3 linked regions of the Drosophila melanogaster genome follow. The protein of the gene in region 1 interacts with the protein of each later gene in a pairwise test. Each region holds a gene or a part of one and is shown in the gene's direction. Other genes may lie near its edges.

Evidence for each region. The genes of interacting proteins can lie anywhere in the genome.
Region 2: the proteins of Fancl (region 1) and CG32206 interact in a two-hybrid assay, tested with the Drosophila melanogaster proteins (one large-scale study listed by BioGRID).
Region 3: the proteins of Fancl (region 1) and CG7220 interact in a two-hybrid assay, tested with the Drosophila melanogaster proteins (one large-scale study listed by BioGRID).

The regions. Positions count from the first base shown.
Region 1 is NT_033777.3:10,051,005-10,054,806, reverse strand, and holds Fancl (fancl), read left to right. Parts: upstream 1-1,937; 5' UTR 1,938-2,000; coding exon 2,001-2,111; intron 2,112-2,168; coding exon 2,169-3,164; intron 3,165-3,221; coding exon 3,222-3,260; 3' UTR 3,261-3,299; downstream 3,300-3,802. Other genes in the region: Npc2e (Niemann-Pick type C-2e), read right to left, coding at 547-878, 937-1,044, 1,343-1,409; ohgt (ohgata), read right to left, coding at 3,486-3,793. UniProt on the Drosophila melanogaster protein: Ubiquitin ligase protein that mediates monoubiquitination of Fancd2. Ubiquitination of Fancd2 is stimulated by ionising radiation.
Region 2 is NT_037436.4:19,409,867-19,414,778, reverse strand, and holds the start of CG32206 (uncharacterized protein), read left to right. Parts: upstream 1-1,866; 5' UTR 1,867-2,405; intron 2,406-4,912.
Region 3 is NT_033778.4:10,730,761-10,737,971, forward strand, and holds CG7220 (uncharacterized protein), read left to right. Parts: upstream 1-1,938; 5' UTR 1,939-2,036; intron 2,037-4,620; exon of another isoform or gene 4,621-5,059; 5' UTR 5,060-5,163; coding exon 5,164-5,295; intron 5,296-5,896; coding exon 5,897-5,988; intron 5,989-6,132; coding exon 6,133-6,235; intron 6,236-6,299; coding exon 6,300-6,531; intron 6,532-6,596; coding exon 6,597-6,610; 3' UTR 6,611-6,665; downstream 6,666-7,211. Other genes in the region: Daao1 (D-amino acid oxidase 1), read right to left, coding at 1-101.

The DNA.
Region 1 (3,802 bases):
TGATTTATGTATATCTTCGAAAGTAATCCCATAAATCATGTTTGCAAATGATAGGCTTCTTTGGAAACACTTCTCATTATGATTTAATCTGGTGGTAATCACTATCACTAGTTAGACATTTTTAAGGCAGATTTTCTCCGAGTGTACTGTTGCACCCAGCAAGACGTTTATCGCCTTATCACACAGGAGAGCCCAACTTTTGACCATATGGTCAATGCGATCTACGGCGGCCAATAAATGATTATCACGACGATTTTATTAGCCAATTGTGCCACTGAATCAGTGGAAATAAATTAATAGACTTTCGGTGCAAAAAGGAACGTCACAAATGACTGTATATAAATAAATACGCTTGAATATCTAATCGGCGGTGCCCAGAAATGTGTTAATCTTCAGCCTGATTGTGCACTGAGTACACTGGAATTCGTGACGTAGCCAAGGTAAACAAATGGTCTTATCTGTGCAAGAGTTTTGTGGTTTATTATTTGGCAAACAAGTGGAAATATTCAGTCGGCCGAAACGGCTGGAGTTGCGTACATCGTCGGCTTAAAGGGGGTTCGTCCAGTCCAACAGATATCCGTCCATCTGTGCTGCAGTGGCTCCCTTCCGGATTTTACAGCTCACGACGAAGCAGGTGATCGGTTCGTTCTGCGCATCGTTCAACGTGACAGTGACATCCGCCGTTATTTCCGGGAACGAAGGCTCCACATAGAAGTTGAACTGATACGTGACATCCTCGTCCTTGTCGATGGGACAGATGGCACCGTACAGGAGATTGCGGCACACATCGGACACTTCGTCGGGTAGGGCATATGGCAGATTCATGCCCAAAACCTTTGCCGTTGTGGTGGCCGTAATGCTCTTGATATTGTTGTTATCTGCAAGACATCGATGATGAGATTCAAGTGGACACGGATATAGATGGCCGAAACTTACTGCCCAGGAAGTGCACCTCCATGACTGCTATGGTTCCTTTGTACACAACGCACGGCGGTTCCTCGCAATCCTTAATATTCACATCCAGTGGAAACGGCTTATTTTTGCCTGAAAGCGGAAATATGTTTTCGAAGAATCAAAAGGTGAGCTCAAAAGAAGGCTATGTTTTTTTTTCTAAGAGATTAGCTGTTTGTTGATAAGCCATATCAACCTGGCCAACAGATACACGTTAGGACTTTAAATTTCTCTCAGAACGTATTTTTGGCAATAGTTTTCGAGACAAAGTCTGCGAAGTGAATCATCGTCATAGAAATCTGTTAGAATCATGAATCCAATCTAACAAACTGGTCGATTTAAAATGATTTGATGTTTTTCCAACAAAATAAAAGAGTTTTTAGCTACTTACACTGCTGGACATTGGTGGCATTGACTGTGGCCAGAATTAGAGCCAAAGTTACAACGATTCGCAGCATTTTTCTGGATGGAATCTTTTTTAATCTTACTTCAGAAGAATACAATATACATTGAGTACGCGCGCACGCAGATGACAATCGTGAGTGGAATCGATGGGGCTGGTGGAGAACCTTAAATAGCCCCGTGTTCGAACGATGACCAACGCCTGTAGAGAGCAGTTTATCAAAATCGGTGGCTATTGCCATTGATACGGGGCCGCCACGCAGGTGTTACAAAAGAAAACCACTGTGGCCTGCAGGTGTTGCGCTCTGACGAAGAGCAAACAATGCCGATTCGAATCAGTAAATAACGTAAATTTGGCTGATAAGTAGGGAGAGGCTGAACTACAATGTTGCCGGCTATACCTAGTAAACAAAACAGCCAGAGGGTGAATATGTAAGCAAGGCGGAATATTGGCTCGAAGGGTTAATAAACATATAATTTAAGGTTTGATCGAGCAATCAAATTTAAAAAAGCGGCCGATTAATTTCCTATCGATCGTGATTGAAGACTTTGTGTCATCGAAGACTGCACATCTCTAACTATGGCCGTTCAAAACATAAAATGTAAACAAAAGTCATTCAAGCACAATCTGACCAAAATCAAATATAATGGAAAGTAACGAAGATGTAGAGCGCCTTCTGTGTCAAAAGTATCCTGGTCTGGCAGCGGAGCTTCAGCCAAGTGGAGCGTGCATCATCAGAGGAGTTTTGGGCAGTGAGGTAAGTTATCCGTATTTCAATTTTTCCCGCCAAACTAATAATGATTGTATAATTAAGGATACATGGCGCCGCCTTAAACTCTATCTGCCACACCACCCAGCTCTTCATGGTTTCCAGCTCTACGTCCAGGAAAGCTTGGAGTACAAGCTGTACACATCGGCTAATCTCAAGTTACAGGACGATTGGCTGCTGGAGGATTTTCTGGACCATTTGCCAAAGATTCTTCCTGCCCAAAAAGCCCCAACAGTGCCAAAGGAACTATGTCGGGAGGGGAACATATATTACGATATCCTGGCCTTGTACAAGTCAAACGAGTACTGCCTGCAAGTGGACGAGGCCTGTTCCATGATTCGTTTCAGCGAATTCACCGACTTCGAGCAGCATTATCTGGAGCTTAAGATCCCGTCTCTTCTCTTGCTTGATCACAGTTTGCCCGACTGCGTATCGCTGGGTGAAATGCTGACCAAGAGTGCTGGAAACCTAGAGGAGGCCCTAAACCTCTTTCGCAAGCTTCTCGAGGATCTGCGTCCCTTCTACGACAACTTCATGGATATCGACGAGCTTTGTCATGTGCTGCAACCATCGCCCATCAGCAGCAAACACAAAACACGACTGTTCCCTCTCAAGGATCGCGTCTACTTGAAGCTGACCATCGCGGATCCCTTTGCCTGCATTGCATCCATGTCGCTAAAGATCATTGGGCCCACGGAAGAGGTGGCCCGCCTGCGCCACGTTCTCAGCGATGGTCTAAGTAACTGGGACTCCGAAATGAACATTCACAAGAACCTACTCCGAATGTTCGACTTGTGCTACTTTCCCATGCCAGACTGGTCGGATGGACCCAAGCTGGATGAAGAGGACAACGAAGAGCTGCGCTGTAACATTTGCTTTGCCTATCGCCTGGATGGTGGCGAGGTGCCCCTCGTCTCCTGCGACAATGCCAAATGTGTGCTAAAGTGCCATGCCGTCTGTTTGGAGGAGTGGTTTAAGACTCTGATGGATGGCAAGACCTTTCTGGAGGTCTCCTTCGGCCAGTGTCCCTTCTGCAAGGCGGTAATATTGCCTATCATTTCATCTATTGCCAATGTACAACTGCTTTATCTTTTTCAGAAGCTGTCCACCTCATTTGCGGCACTTTTAAATGATTGAAATTTGTAACCATAATATTAAAAGCAAATATTTAAGAGTAACTTATTATTCAAATAATCGTAAATATCAATTAGGTTTACATCCACGCCATCAAACGCCGTGTGTTTTTGCTAAAAGTAGTTGTGAAACGAATTAAACAGGTCCCACCTGATGGACCGCATCATTCTCCTGACGACGCCAGCAGCAGAGTTGACATCTGAAAAATCGCTTCACAACGCGCCAGCCTCATTCCATATCGCTTGAGATCATCCGCATCATATTCCGCACCACATAGGTGGTTCCATTGAAGGGCGAGTACTCGCTGGCTTTTCCAATCCGCACGCTGGAGCCGGCCAAACCGAAAAACACCTTGGGTGTTAGGTTGGGATGCACGGCCTTGAACTCCCACCCGACGTGCTGGGCGCAGAACTTGCACAGAATAATGTGCCACTGATAGCCGGGGAACCAGCTAAACTTTGTGGACGGCTCGCCGCTGTAGCCGATGGCATGGGATATCACCCGGTACACGGTGTTTGTCTCGTGGATGTAGCCCTCTGTAAAGT
Region 2 (4,912 bases), on another chromosome or scaffold:
GTTCCATGGGCTATATGGGTTGTACGGGTTTTACGGGTTGCACGGGTTGTACGGGTTGTATGGGTTATGCAGCAGCTGTCGCCTGTGCGGACGCACACAAACAAGGTCCTGCACTCACACTCATGTGCACTGGAAGAAACTTCTGGGATTTTCTAATCGTTATTCCTTAAAGCGCCGCTGCTTAAGAATATGAGTATGAATCCAAATGTATCATTTTTTATCTGTCTTTACAACTTTCTTTATAGGAACGAAACTCACACTTTTTCTGAGAGAAGTAGAAGTACTTATATATGTTCATAATTAAAAGATGCTTAAATTGTGGTACGAACACCTGACATTTTAGTGGGCTGCTTTGGGGTAAAGCTTGTTTACAGTGCAAAGATGCTTCCCTGTCGACTCTGTCACACTCTGACTGCCGAGCGTCCATTGGATGGAGGGTGGTGGCAGGAGGACTTCGCCGCGTGTCCTGCGAGGCTACGACTCTTTTGGAGTCAACTGCATGTCAGTTTTGTTCGCTCCTCCAGCCTTCGCCTGCTTTTGATTACAATGCTGGTTATGTTCTCACCCTCGGCGAGTGCGAGTGTGTGTGGCAGCGCCGTCCTGCTGGATCCTGCATCCTGGATCCGGGATCCTGGATCCCGGCATCGTTTGCATCTGATAACACGTTAAGTGCGCTTGTTTATCCAGCAAGATAATTTGGACAAGTGTCACCTCTCGGATTTTCACGCGCCGGCTGCAAAATAAAAAGTAACCCCTGCGAAAATGTCGCAACTTTTCTGAAATATGTACGAGTATGCATGCATGCAGGTCGCCAGAAACTAACTAACTAGCTGCAGTTGGGGTTAACTGCCGCTGGATCAGGTGCAAGACCGGGCTGGGAACCTGGCTTTGGTCCTCCTGGACCGGAATTGTCTCATTTTATTTTGCGGTGCCCGCCGTAATTTCGCTTCCAGCCAGCGCTTCGTGGCATATTTTTTGTTTTCCGGCAGAGGGGCGTACGCGTAATTGGTGGTTAGTTTCGGGTTTGTCCGCAGCAAAAGGCAGATGCCACCTGGTGGCACAGTGGGTGCTGGCACTTTAATGTTGGCTTAGGCTGTTGATAAGCTCTGATTTACTCTATTTTAGGGTAGATATCCCTCTCAAAGGGCTTTACTTTAAGCGCTTCTTATGGCATGGAATTATGTATTTTCCTACAGTTGTTCATTATTTAGAGCAACTTTGTCGAATATTTGAACCTAGTATGCAATTGTGCTTCTTAAAAGGCCTTTAATATATATATATATATATCTATATAGCTGCCAAATAATCCCATTACCATTGTGCACCTCCGAATTCTGCTTCTTTATAGCCTGGCCACTAAAATCAGCACAAATCGATGTGTCTTGGAATTTTCGGACATTCCGAACAATCCGAGCTCACCTGACCATCGCAATGCCGTGCCAGAATTAACCCACATTAACCGGAGTCAAGTTGAAATCGGGAACATAATATCCTCGGAAAAACGCGCATGTCCGTCAGAATCCCTGACGCATGCAACATTTTTTGACAGCAATCAGATGTTTTGGAATGTTGGCGCCCAGACACACACACACACACACACACACAGACGCACGGGCAAACGCTCACACCGACGGAGAGAGCTTTGTTTTTGTTAACCTTGCCTAACGACGAATGGCGAAAACAAAACAAAAACGTGGAGAGGCAACAGCAAGAGTCGGAAAAGCGGGAGCACGTGCAGAGCGGAGGAAAATGAAAATCTTGGCTGCGCGTGCGCACAAAATCCGCTGAATGGAAGTGCCAGAGAGGCGAAAGCTTCTTTTTGGCCTGCCTTTCGGGGCGTCCAGGATTCCGAGTTTGTGGCCAACTCATTACGTTCGAATGTCAGTAGTTGAAACAAGGACGCGTTACGTGCAGAATACCCAGCGCGCAGCCAGGGAAAATCGCATAAATCGCCCAGCGCGTTGAGTTAAGCGGATGAAGTTAAAAATTTAATTGAAATACAGCAATGAAAATGCAGGAAAATTCTGCTGCTTAAGTGCTAAAGTGCTTTAGTGCCCCGTGTGTTCTTGTGATTTTTCCCAGAGCAAAATTGTGCCGAATCAGCAGATAGTCGTTACGTATACGCAACGTGTGCGGAGTGTTGTTTTATTGATTGCCCAGCAGCAGAGCCACACTTAAACCACTGGGAAAATGCTGATGAAACAGTGAAGATTTAAAGAGCAGCCTCTCCTCCGAGGCTCGAGCAGTGAAATGCGTGCAGCTGACAGTCAAGGTCGCCGACGCCTCATGTCACCCACAAAAACATAAGGATCTACAGAGCAAAAAACAATTGTAATAAAAGCAAACGAAGCATCTTCGTAGGCAGTTTCCAGTCATCAGCAGCTCATCAACTAAGCGAACTTAAAGTAAGCAAAGTGCCAAGTCAGTCAAAAAGTAAAAGAACAAAAATTGAAAATTCCTTTCCTGCCGCACTTGCAAGGATGGGGCAAAAATTTGGTGTGGAAAGGAGGTAATCCCACCGAGAAAGGCTGCCCTCTTTAGTGTGTGTGCCGCAACTTATCTCCTCGGTTAGACACACATGGATACATTATGTACTCCATATACGATATGGCAGGAGATACATACATATATAGGGGGAACAATCCTTAAGGCGGCTACAAAGAATTGTCTGCAGGCAGCCTCTTGTCGCTGGATTCGTACTTGTACTCTTTCTTTTAGGACTACAAACTGTTGGATTACTTGTGTATTGGTTATTTTCGTGTGCCCCGGCTGACATAGTTTTTGGCTTTGGCTTTTGTCTATTATTTACGGCCTGTGACTGCATTACAGGTAGCCCAGCCAAACGAACTTTGAGACAGGTCAGGACACAGATTTCCGGTCTCGAGTGCTTGAGTAATGAAAATGTGACTACGCCGCTTTGTTTTCGGATCTGTGGCAGGCAAATATTTAATGGAATTGAGTTTGTAACACAAATGAGGACTTTTTGGCAGCGGATGAGCTTGGTACTTTCATTTAAATATTTAAAAGAATTCCATGTTAAGAAAAGTGGATAAACTCCTTCAAAAACTTTCGAATATAAGCACAAAGTCAAAAAATATATCTATATTGGCTTTATTGGAGACGCGGTTGTGGACTTAATTATGTTTAAAAATATGTTAAGCCTGACGTTTAAAAAGTTTATTGGCGTTCCTGTAACCTAATTTAACCAACAACATTATTGTTTTAAAGGTTCAAGTACATTTCAACAGGATTCTGAGAATTATGCTCTTCATAAAACGCAGACCTGCCATTCGTTTGATGAGTAAAAGGTATTTGAAAAGTTATGCTTTAAATGAGTCTCAAAACTTTCTTGCGCTCGTATCTCTCTCTAGTGTCAAGTTAATTTCGCCTTAAAGATTGTTGATGACGACCCATTTGCGATATCTACACTCGCCCCTTTTAACTTTGTCATTCTACGGGTACAAGAAAAAGGAGGCGAATATCAACTCACATCAAGTGGAGGTTCCCGCCCACGTGGCGTATGAGTTATGCATTATGGCTTGCCGCTTCGAGACTTTCCCCAAATATATTTCCATCATCAGAGGCACTTTGTTTGCTCTACGCATTACGACAAATATTTGCCCATCGGACAACATATTCTTGTGTTGTCTTCTGGCGTGTTCTGCCGTATTTTACTCTGCTTTATTTTCTCTGTGTTTTTATACTTGTTTGTTACTTTGGCTTGTGGGCCGTGCGAGAACGAGGTCAGAGCTAAAATCTAAGCCGTAAGCTCTACCCAAAACAGCTGATGTCAGCAGAATATGTGTGCACGTAACGTGTTTTTTGTTTCAGATTCTCCAGAGAAACACACAGAAAAAACGATGTTTAGTATATCAATAGGTGTGGCAGTGAAAATTCCATAGATGGGATTCCAAAAATCGAACTTACTAACAGGAATGCTTGTTGTTAGGCAGCAGAGAAATGTTAAAAACATCAATCATGTTGTATTGAGAAGATTATAAACGTATAGATTAAGGAGTTCAAAAAACTATTTTGGTGAAATTACTGAAAATGGTGGCTGTGCCACATTATCTTTCGTACTTATCAAATCAATTAAAATTATAATAGTTTAAAAACCATTATTATATTAGGATATGGAAATTTACAGATGGAAAAATAATGATAATAATAACCAAAATTCTATTCAAAAATGGTAATTTTTCCTATCCCACATAACTGTAGTAAGTCTATTTGTAATCGCGAGTTACCTTATAAAAATTGTTATATCTGAGAATGTACAGAACAAAGCCATTTAAATATGGAAAACCGACAAAACTGTAATGGAACTTAGTGATAATTTTTCCGAGTGTTAGGCAGACCTCCAAGTTGATGAGCAGTGGGTTTGGGCTTGGAGGTGGCGCCCCAACAGCCACTCGACCATGGCCGAGAGCGGTGTCAAAGACTTTTTGCGGACTTTGATTTATCTGCAGTGCAGCCCGCAGGCGACTGCTGCACCCACACATTCACACTCATGGACTAGTTGTGAGTTCTGGCATAAATTAAGTGTTTATTTTGGCTTGAGCTGGGATATCGTTACATTTTATGCATGCCAAACTTCCTCGGCTGGTCATCATAAATTTATTCTGTGTAGCCTGCTCTTAGGCGCTACTTGCAGTGCTCGCTTGTGTGGGTGGCGAAACGAAAGTGTGCCAAATCGGAAACGGAAATGATCGGAATTGAGGAAAGTACTCCCTTCGATTTTATTTGGCATGTATCATTGCCGATATATAACAAGAGGCGTCCATTTTACTATTTAAATTCCGAAGTAAAATTTATTGACTTATAAAAATGTAAAAAAGTACAGGCTTTAACTTGAATAAACAATTCAATTCAATTCAATTCAGCTGATCACTTATATGAGCACATAAGCCTA
Region 3 (7,211 bases), on another chromosome or scaffold:
CGATCCGCAATCACGGAAACCCTTGCTGTGGGAAACTCCTTCTGGAGTTCTAAGGCGGTCGTAAGACCAATGATACCGCTTCCCAAGACTCCGAAATGCATTCTGGATCCGCTTTGAGTTGATACCCAATCCCAATGGAAGGCGATTTGGTACTGAGCATGCTTTTAAAGGTGCTTGCGAAGCTGGCTGCGTCTTATCAGCTCTTATCAAATCCGCTCTCCATCGCGCCTCCAAAGATGAGATAAACTTTACTGCTCTCTTTTAAAATTGCAATAAACACTTTTTCCGTTGTTTTTATTATGGTTGCAAACAGTGCTGCACGCTTACAGTAGACTTTAATTAAGTATAACGAAATATTAATGTAACAGTGAGTATTCAATACGAGATACAGCTTTTAAAATAGATATAGAATTAAATGTAGCCAAATTTAAATAAAAAAAGCATCTTTGCTTAAAAAACTGGCAAAATACATATATTTCATAGCTTAAAAATAAGCTAATTGTTTGTCCTATTCTTTCTTACGGGTATCTACTGTACATCGAAAATACTGTGTTGAATCAGCTGTTTGTACTAAACACATCTAAAAAAAACACATCCATTCTAGGGACCACAACAACTTTTCTAAACTGTCGTCAGTATAACTTGTCAACCCAAATTGGATTGACAAATTTTTAAAACAATTATTGTACTCCGCTGAAATTAAACTATTTACCGGCGTTCAAAGCGGAAAACTCAAAAATACCTACACGCGGAACAGCTGAGTGCGGTATTTTTTAGTTTCGCTCACAATTTGTACGTGCGATGCACGAATCGTTTTCAACACTGCCCGGAGGGTCACACTATCCACTCAGATATTTATTTTTCTAATAACATTTACTTAAAAGCAGACTTTACGCAGAGCTTTGGCCACGGAGGAAACGGAACAGATAGCCAGCGAGCGGAGCAGCCAGGACTTGGAGCAGGAATCGGCAGGAACACCAGGACGGATTTCCCCAAGACAAGCAGTAGTAGTATGTCTTCGAAGTCGCCAAGCGAGGTGAGTTCCCTTTGAAGTCTTGGGATAATTTCGATATCCGAGGCGTATTCAATATAGTAGAGGGTTTTAACCGCAGCTGGGCAAATGTTAACGATCCGGAAAGGTTTCCCTTCCGCAATCGCGTGTCGGACTGCCATCCCACGAGTAGAAGGTTCAACGTCATCTTATCGTTCTAGAGATTCATAGCTGAGGAGTGACACAGCGCTCTGCAATGATAAGCTTGTCCAGCTTCTTGCTCGATCTACCAGTCCGTCTATCGTTATATAACTTATTGGTTTCTGCAGGCCGAGGTCGTCTGACCCCGGTCGCTAATTGCTGCTAACCCCGCCATAATCGGGCCGCTGTTTGTGCCCACCCACAGGCCACAGACACGGCCCAATGTCATCTGCCTCCCAATGGCCAAATGTTTACATGGCATTCATTGCACTTTCCCTTCGCCTGAATGCTTGTTTATGCCACATAAACAATGCATTTGCATTTTGGCAAAAAACCTTCGATCCTTGCCAGCTCGATGCTCTTTAGGGAGCTGTTAACCTGGCATGGGGAGTTTACTATAGCTCGCTTGAATTTCATTACTTTAAGGGTTTGCCATATGACCATAAAGTTTATAAAACCTGTGTATGTATCAAGTCTTGGCATTGTATCTTTGCTCCTTGGCAATACGTCTTATATTTAAAATTGTATTGTATATTTTACCGGTCGGGATATTTATTGTGTACCTTTTTTAATAAGCATTTTGTACCCGCGCAAATATAATCTGGTTTAATATTGTTCGTTTATGCAGCACCTTTCTCATCAAGCAATGTCTTTTGTATACACATAAGTACAATACATATGTGGCTCACGCGGATCGCTCTCCCGTCTGCCGAAAATAGAAGCTCATCGCCATTGACGCCGCTCGCATTCAGTGCTCGATGCCACGCGAATTCGCACGCGCCGCTCTGCCAGATTCTTCGCGACGCGAAATTCATAAGCCAAAACACTTCGATTCGGATCCAAAGTGCGCAGGTTTAACTTTTGCCAACCATTGATCACCGGTGGCCAAGCGTTTTTCCCAGGGATCCTCTTGTCCGCTCCTCAATTGCGACATCATTGGCACGCGCGAAACATATTAATTGCCCGGCGCTCCCATTTACTCATTAGATCACTATAAATAAACAGCAAGCCATAGCCACCACATTTTAGAACCAGTTTATAGATCGTTTTCAATACCATGAAAAGTGTTTTCAAATTTTGTTATAAATCTGATATCAGCCTGTAGTTGAAAATCAAGAAGTATCAAGCCTTCGAAGTGGCATCATGAAATATGCATGGGCCAATCCGATCACAAAGAATATCAGATTCGCCATAAGGAAGTGTTTTGCCTTGTTAGCACTCCCGCGAGTCAATTAGTGATTTATGGTTGAGTTTAAAAGGCGGTTTCGAATGGCATCCAAAGGGCAGCAGAGCAATTTAGCTGTTTGAAAGTGTCTCCTTGATAAGGTCTTGGCAATAGAGGGATTATTGAAGTCACTGACCTGCCAAACGTGATCGCTGATCGGCAGATTTAATCGCTGTAAAGTGTACCTGCGCAATTTCATTGACGTTGCGATTAATATGTCACTTTCCTCATCAGTTTTCGCATCACCTTCACAGCGAAGAACGCTTTAATCTCAGAAGAGAGACACCTTTGCATTTAAGTCGCTTACATTTCATTTTATTTTAATTTAATTACTGCGATTCCGTTGTCTTTTCCTCACAGCAACAAGTTTCGCACATTGTAATTACACACGCCTTTCACGTGTCTGCGACAACAACACGTCCTCGTTCTGATGGCTTACGTTTCCTAGATTTCCCTACGGCTATATACAATACTTCCATGTCAGCGGCAATCGGCCAAAGGAGATGCTCTAGATGCGCTATGGAACTTGTTGCTCATCCGCCGCGAACGTGACACATGTCGATTGCCGCTCTCTTCAAGCTGATGATAAAGCCGAAACTGGCGCATCAGGTTTTCGTTATTTTATAAAACGCCACTCAGCACGATCTCTGACGTCAGAATGTACGATGATGACGTACCCGATGATTTATCGACCGGTGGCGAAGGGGGCAGGTGGCTTCTTGCCAAGTTTAAGGTTGCAGCGAGTTTATTATACACACTTATGGCCCATCCCTCGGTTCTTCCGCTTTCACCTTTACCGTAATGCGCTTAGCATTTCTCCGGTTCAGGAAATCGCTTTATATGGTTTTCAGACCGGGCCTCTGGGCCTCCCACTTGCATAATTTGGCCAGAGTGTAGTGGCTTGGGTTTGTTTATTTTAGCCTGGCGTGTGATTCACAGCCCAAGGTTGGCCAGCAAATGCGATTTCCAAAACATTTTTCGTGGCGTGATTCATTTCAAATGATTTCCCCATCATGCAGAGCCACCCACAATCCAAATCTTATGTGTTTATGTCTACGCTAATCGTCCTTCACCCTCTGGCTTACCTCCAAAATACTGCGGCTATCAGCTGCCAAAATGTTTATCAGCCACAAAGATTTTGGTGGTGGCACGCTTTATTCCTCGGCCATTGTGCTTAGCCGAAAAATATTCTAGGAAAAAGCGAAATAAATAAAAAACAGACGCGTCCCCCCTTTCCAGCGCCACCAAAGTCTGGCAGTCGCTGGTTTATTTGTTTACACTCTGCTTGGCTTTTATTGCCGAAGAATTTTTCGAGTCCATTGTTTGGTTGTTTTGGCTGTTTTCATAAAATTTCCCAGGCAGCGCTCTTCTAGACGTTGGCATTCAACTGCAGTTTTATTTATTTATTTCTGGCTGATTCAAGCAGCTTTTGTTTTGCTCTCTAAGTTTGATTGAGTCTAAAATAAACGCAAGTAGCCCCCGCTGAGTGTGGCGCGTGTTTATTGGTCTGGCCTACTTCAGCGCTGATTTTTTCGCGTTTGGCGGCCCATTTGGGTCCATCATACTATATACTATACTATAGTACACTATGGTTGCGGAACTTATTTAATGGGTCCACTTAAATTGGCCTCGCTAAGTGGTTGTCGATCTGTCGCTTCATTTAGAACCAGTTCTCTGTAAACCAGTGTCCGACTTATATAATCGATCATCTTCTAGGGCCCTGCTTGATTGCTTTTAATCATGAGCAGACGCTCGTCTTCATTTCAGTTTAAAAGCCGAAGATTTCATTGTGCCATCAATTGAAATGTATGCCCCATTGACGTATGCAACCGTCTTGAACACTTGTGTTCCTTTTGTTCGAGTATGTGCAGTGAGCAAAATGAGTTCGCAATTTACTGGGAAAATGCTTCTTTATGAACTTCAGTAAGTGCTGTTTACCAGTTGAACTTCCGTAATATTAAAATTGTTGATTATATATAAATATATTTTTGGTACCTCAATGCGTAGAGCTTTTCCCACACTGTATTAACATATACGTAGGATGTGCTTATCGCCACTTCCGTCGCTGTAATCTAATCGTGTGCTTATCAGGTAATGGCTGCGTGCCAGGGCAGTGGTCCGATAAGCGTTTCTGCCAATACCTTTGGTGGAGCGAGGGGCTGTGAGAGCCACCATTTCGTGATCCGGGGACACAATCGCGACTTAAGTTTAGGACCAAACCAGCTGGACGGGCAACTTGTTCAGGTTAACGAACTAGTTTGGGCCGTTTCTCGCTGCACTTGCGAATTCTCATTTTTGATAGTGCACAACCAACGTAGATATGTATACACAGATCGGGTGAGAGCGGGGGGTGGTGCGATTGGAGAGGTGCCGAAAGCGGCGACGACTTCTACTACTTGTGCCCGACAGTACGTACACAGAGACACGTCGCTACATCGGGCTTCGTCACTCGACTCGCCCTGCAGTCTCTCCCACAATTTTCTGGGCGCTTTCCTGCAGTCGTCCCACGAACGTTGCCGCAATTGGTCTACACGAATCGGTTCGCTAATAAAATGACTGCCATGCCCCACGCCCACTCTCGCCTCCTAGGAAAAACGCTGGCATATTGAACTGTGCGACTAACTAACTTAAATACTTAAAAGCAAGCCCAGCAAGCCGAGAGCAATCTGCCTAAAAGTGACAAGTTATAGGTGACACAACAAAAGCTAAAATTTGTGAGAAACTGTGTGAAAACTAGAACTACAAAATGATGAAGCTGTTTAAAAAACCCAAAGACAAAATACCCAAATCGGAGATTTTAACCGAGCCCAAGGAGCCCAAAACACCGCCGGTCTCCAAGTGCGGAAAACCTTTGCAGTTGGACAACTCGCGATGGGAGGCAAGTATATTCGAGATATTAAACCTGAACTTTGGCCAGATATCGCGTTCGAACAACTGGTCGTTAATATACATATAGTGTTCCATTGCATCATGAGTATGTAGTATTTTGAGTTTCAAGAAATCTGCGTGAATCTTCTGTTGATTCTCTTCAAGGCTGTACCAAGATTTGTTTTTATTATTCTTGGCATTGCCAAATCCAAACCTTATCGATCAAACCCATTTATCCGCAGCTCATTTGTGGGGGCAGCGGTGCGATACTTGTTTATGGTACAGAAAACGGGCCTGCAAGTGCCAATCACTCGATAAGAAGGGGGATCCGAAAGACGGAAAAACAATCGTCGGTTCTATAAATTTCAGTGACATTTGTTTTTATCTTATCGAGCATTTCGTTTATTTATACGCGCGTAGGCATATAGCGTATATTGGCGTTTGTAAGCCAAAGGAGAAATGGCGCACCGATAAGGCGAGCGGAAAAAATAAGTCTTGAGAACTCTTAAGTAGAATGTCCCAGCTGTAGGTGTGTTTCGCGATAAGATATACGGCGAACTGTCCGAGTCATTAACTAATATAAGTCTTAAATTTTATTTTCTGCCCCACAGCGCCGCCTACACAAAGAGCTGATGTCCCTGATCAAGGAGCCGCCACCAGGCGTAACCATCGACACCGAGAGCGTACAACAAAATTTATCCGAGTAAGTATGGACTTCGAGGCGGAGTAGGCCAAGTTCAGCGACAACTGAAACTGGTTTAAATCAATTCGCAATTCAGCAATTCGCACTGAAAACAAAGCCCGCAGTTGTTGGAAGCTGACACTAATATCGCTGTTTTGTTTACAGATGGAAAATAAACATTAAAGGTTTCGAGGGCACACTTTACGAGGGCGAGGACTTCCAGCTACTTTTCAAATTCAACAATAAATATCCGTTCGATTCGCCAGAGGTAATAATTCAGTTGAACAAAGCGAAGCTGTATGGAATCTTAACCATGTTCTCTTAATTTCCAGGTGACCTTCATCGGCACCAATATACCGGTGCATCCGCATGTCTACAGCAACGGACACATCTGCCTATCCATTCTGACCGAGGACTGGTCCCCGGCGCTGTCCGTGCAGTCCGTGTGCCTTAGCATAGCCTCCATGTTGAGTAGTTGTCGCGAAAAGAAGCGTCCGCCGGACAACACGATATACGTAAAAACCTGTAATAAGAATCCTAAAAAGACTAAATGGTGGTACCACGGTACGTATGCGTGATTTTCCAACTAAAGCCCACTGACTCTAAACTTGACTAATTGTTTATTTCAGATGATTCTGTTTAGTTAAAATTGCCATTTACTAATACTGCCTGCTATTGTTTGCTTTGCGCATCCAACCAAAAAAAAAAAAAAAAAAAAAAACACCATTAGCAATACAGAAGTAGAACACGGCGAGATGCCCCCAGAAATCCAAGAAATGTGGGACGGCGGTCAAGCACTGCTCGTGAGTGGAGCATACTAAAACCCAAGTGCACTCGGATGCGAACGTAATGTGCAACAAAGTAAATGAAGTTAGCGAGAAACTTATGGGTAGTGTTTGGCAAACAATCGTGGCGCATGCAAACAATTCTAATTGTAGCTATGTGTAATCAACAAAAGGCGTGTGCGAAAAACTATTATTAAATGTTAACATTTTAATTAGATTGTTAAGACCAAATTTATGTCTAAATTAAATGTTATCCTACCATTTAACCACTAAGCGTATGCAAACCACTTGAACGTTTGATAGTTCTGGCACCTCGCGCCAGTTGCTGCTTCCACATTCCACATGCATCGTTCGCGGCATTTTCTGCCCGAGTAGCGTGACCCAGCACACACACACATCGCCTCCATCCCAGCTTATATTAATTTTGTGTATTTTATCATCATAGATGAGAAGCAAAAC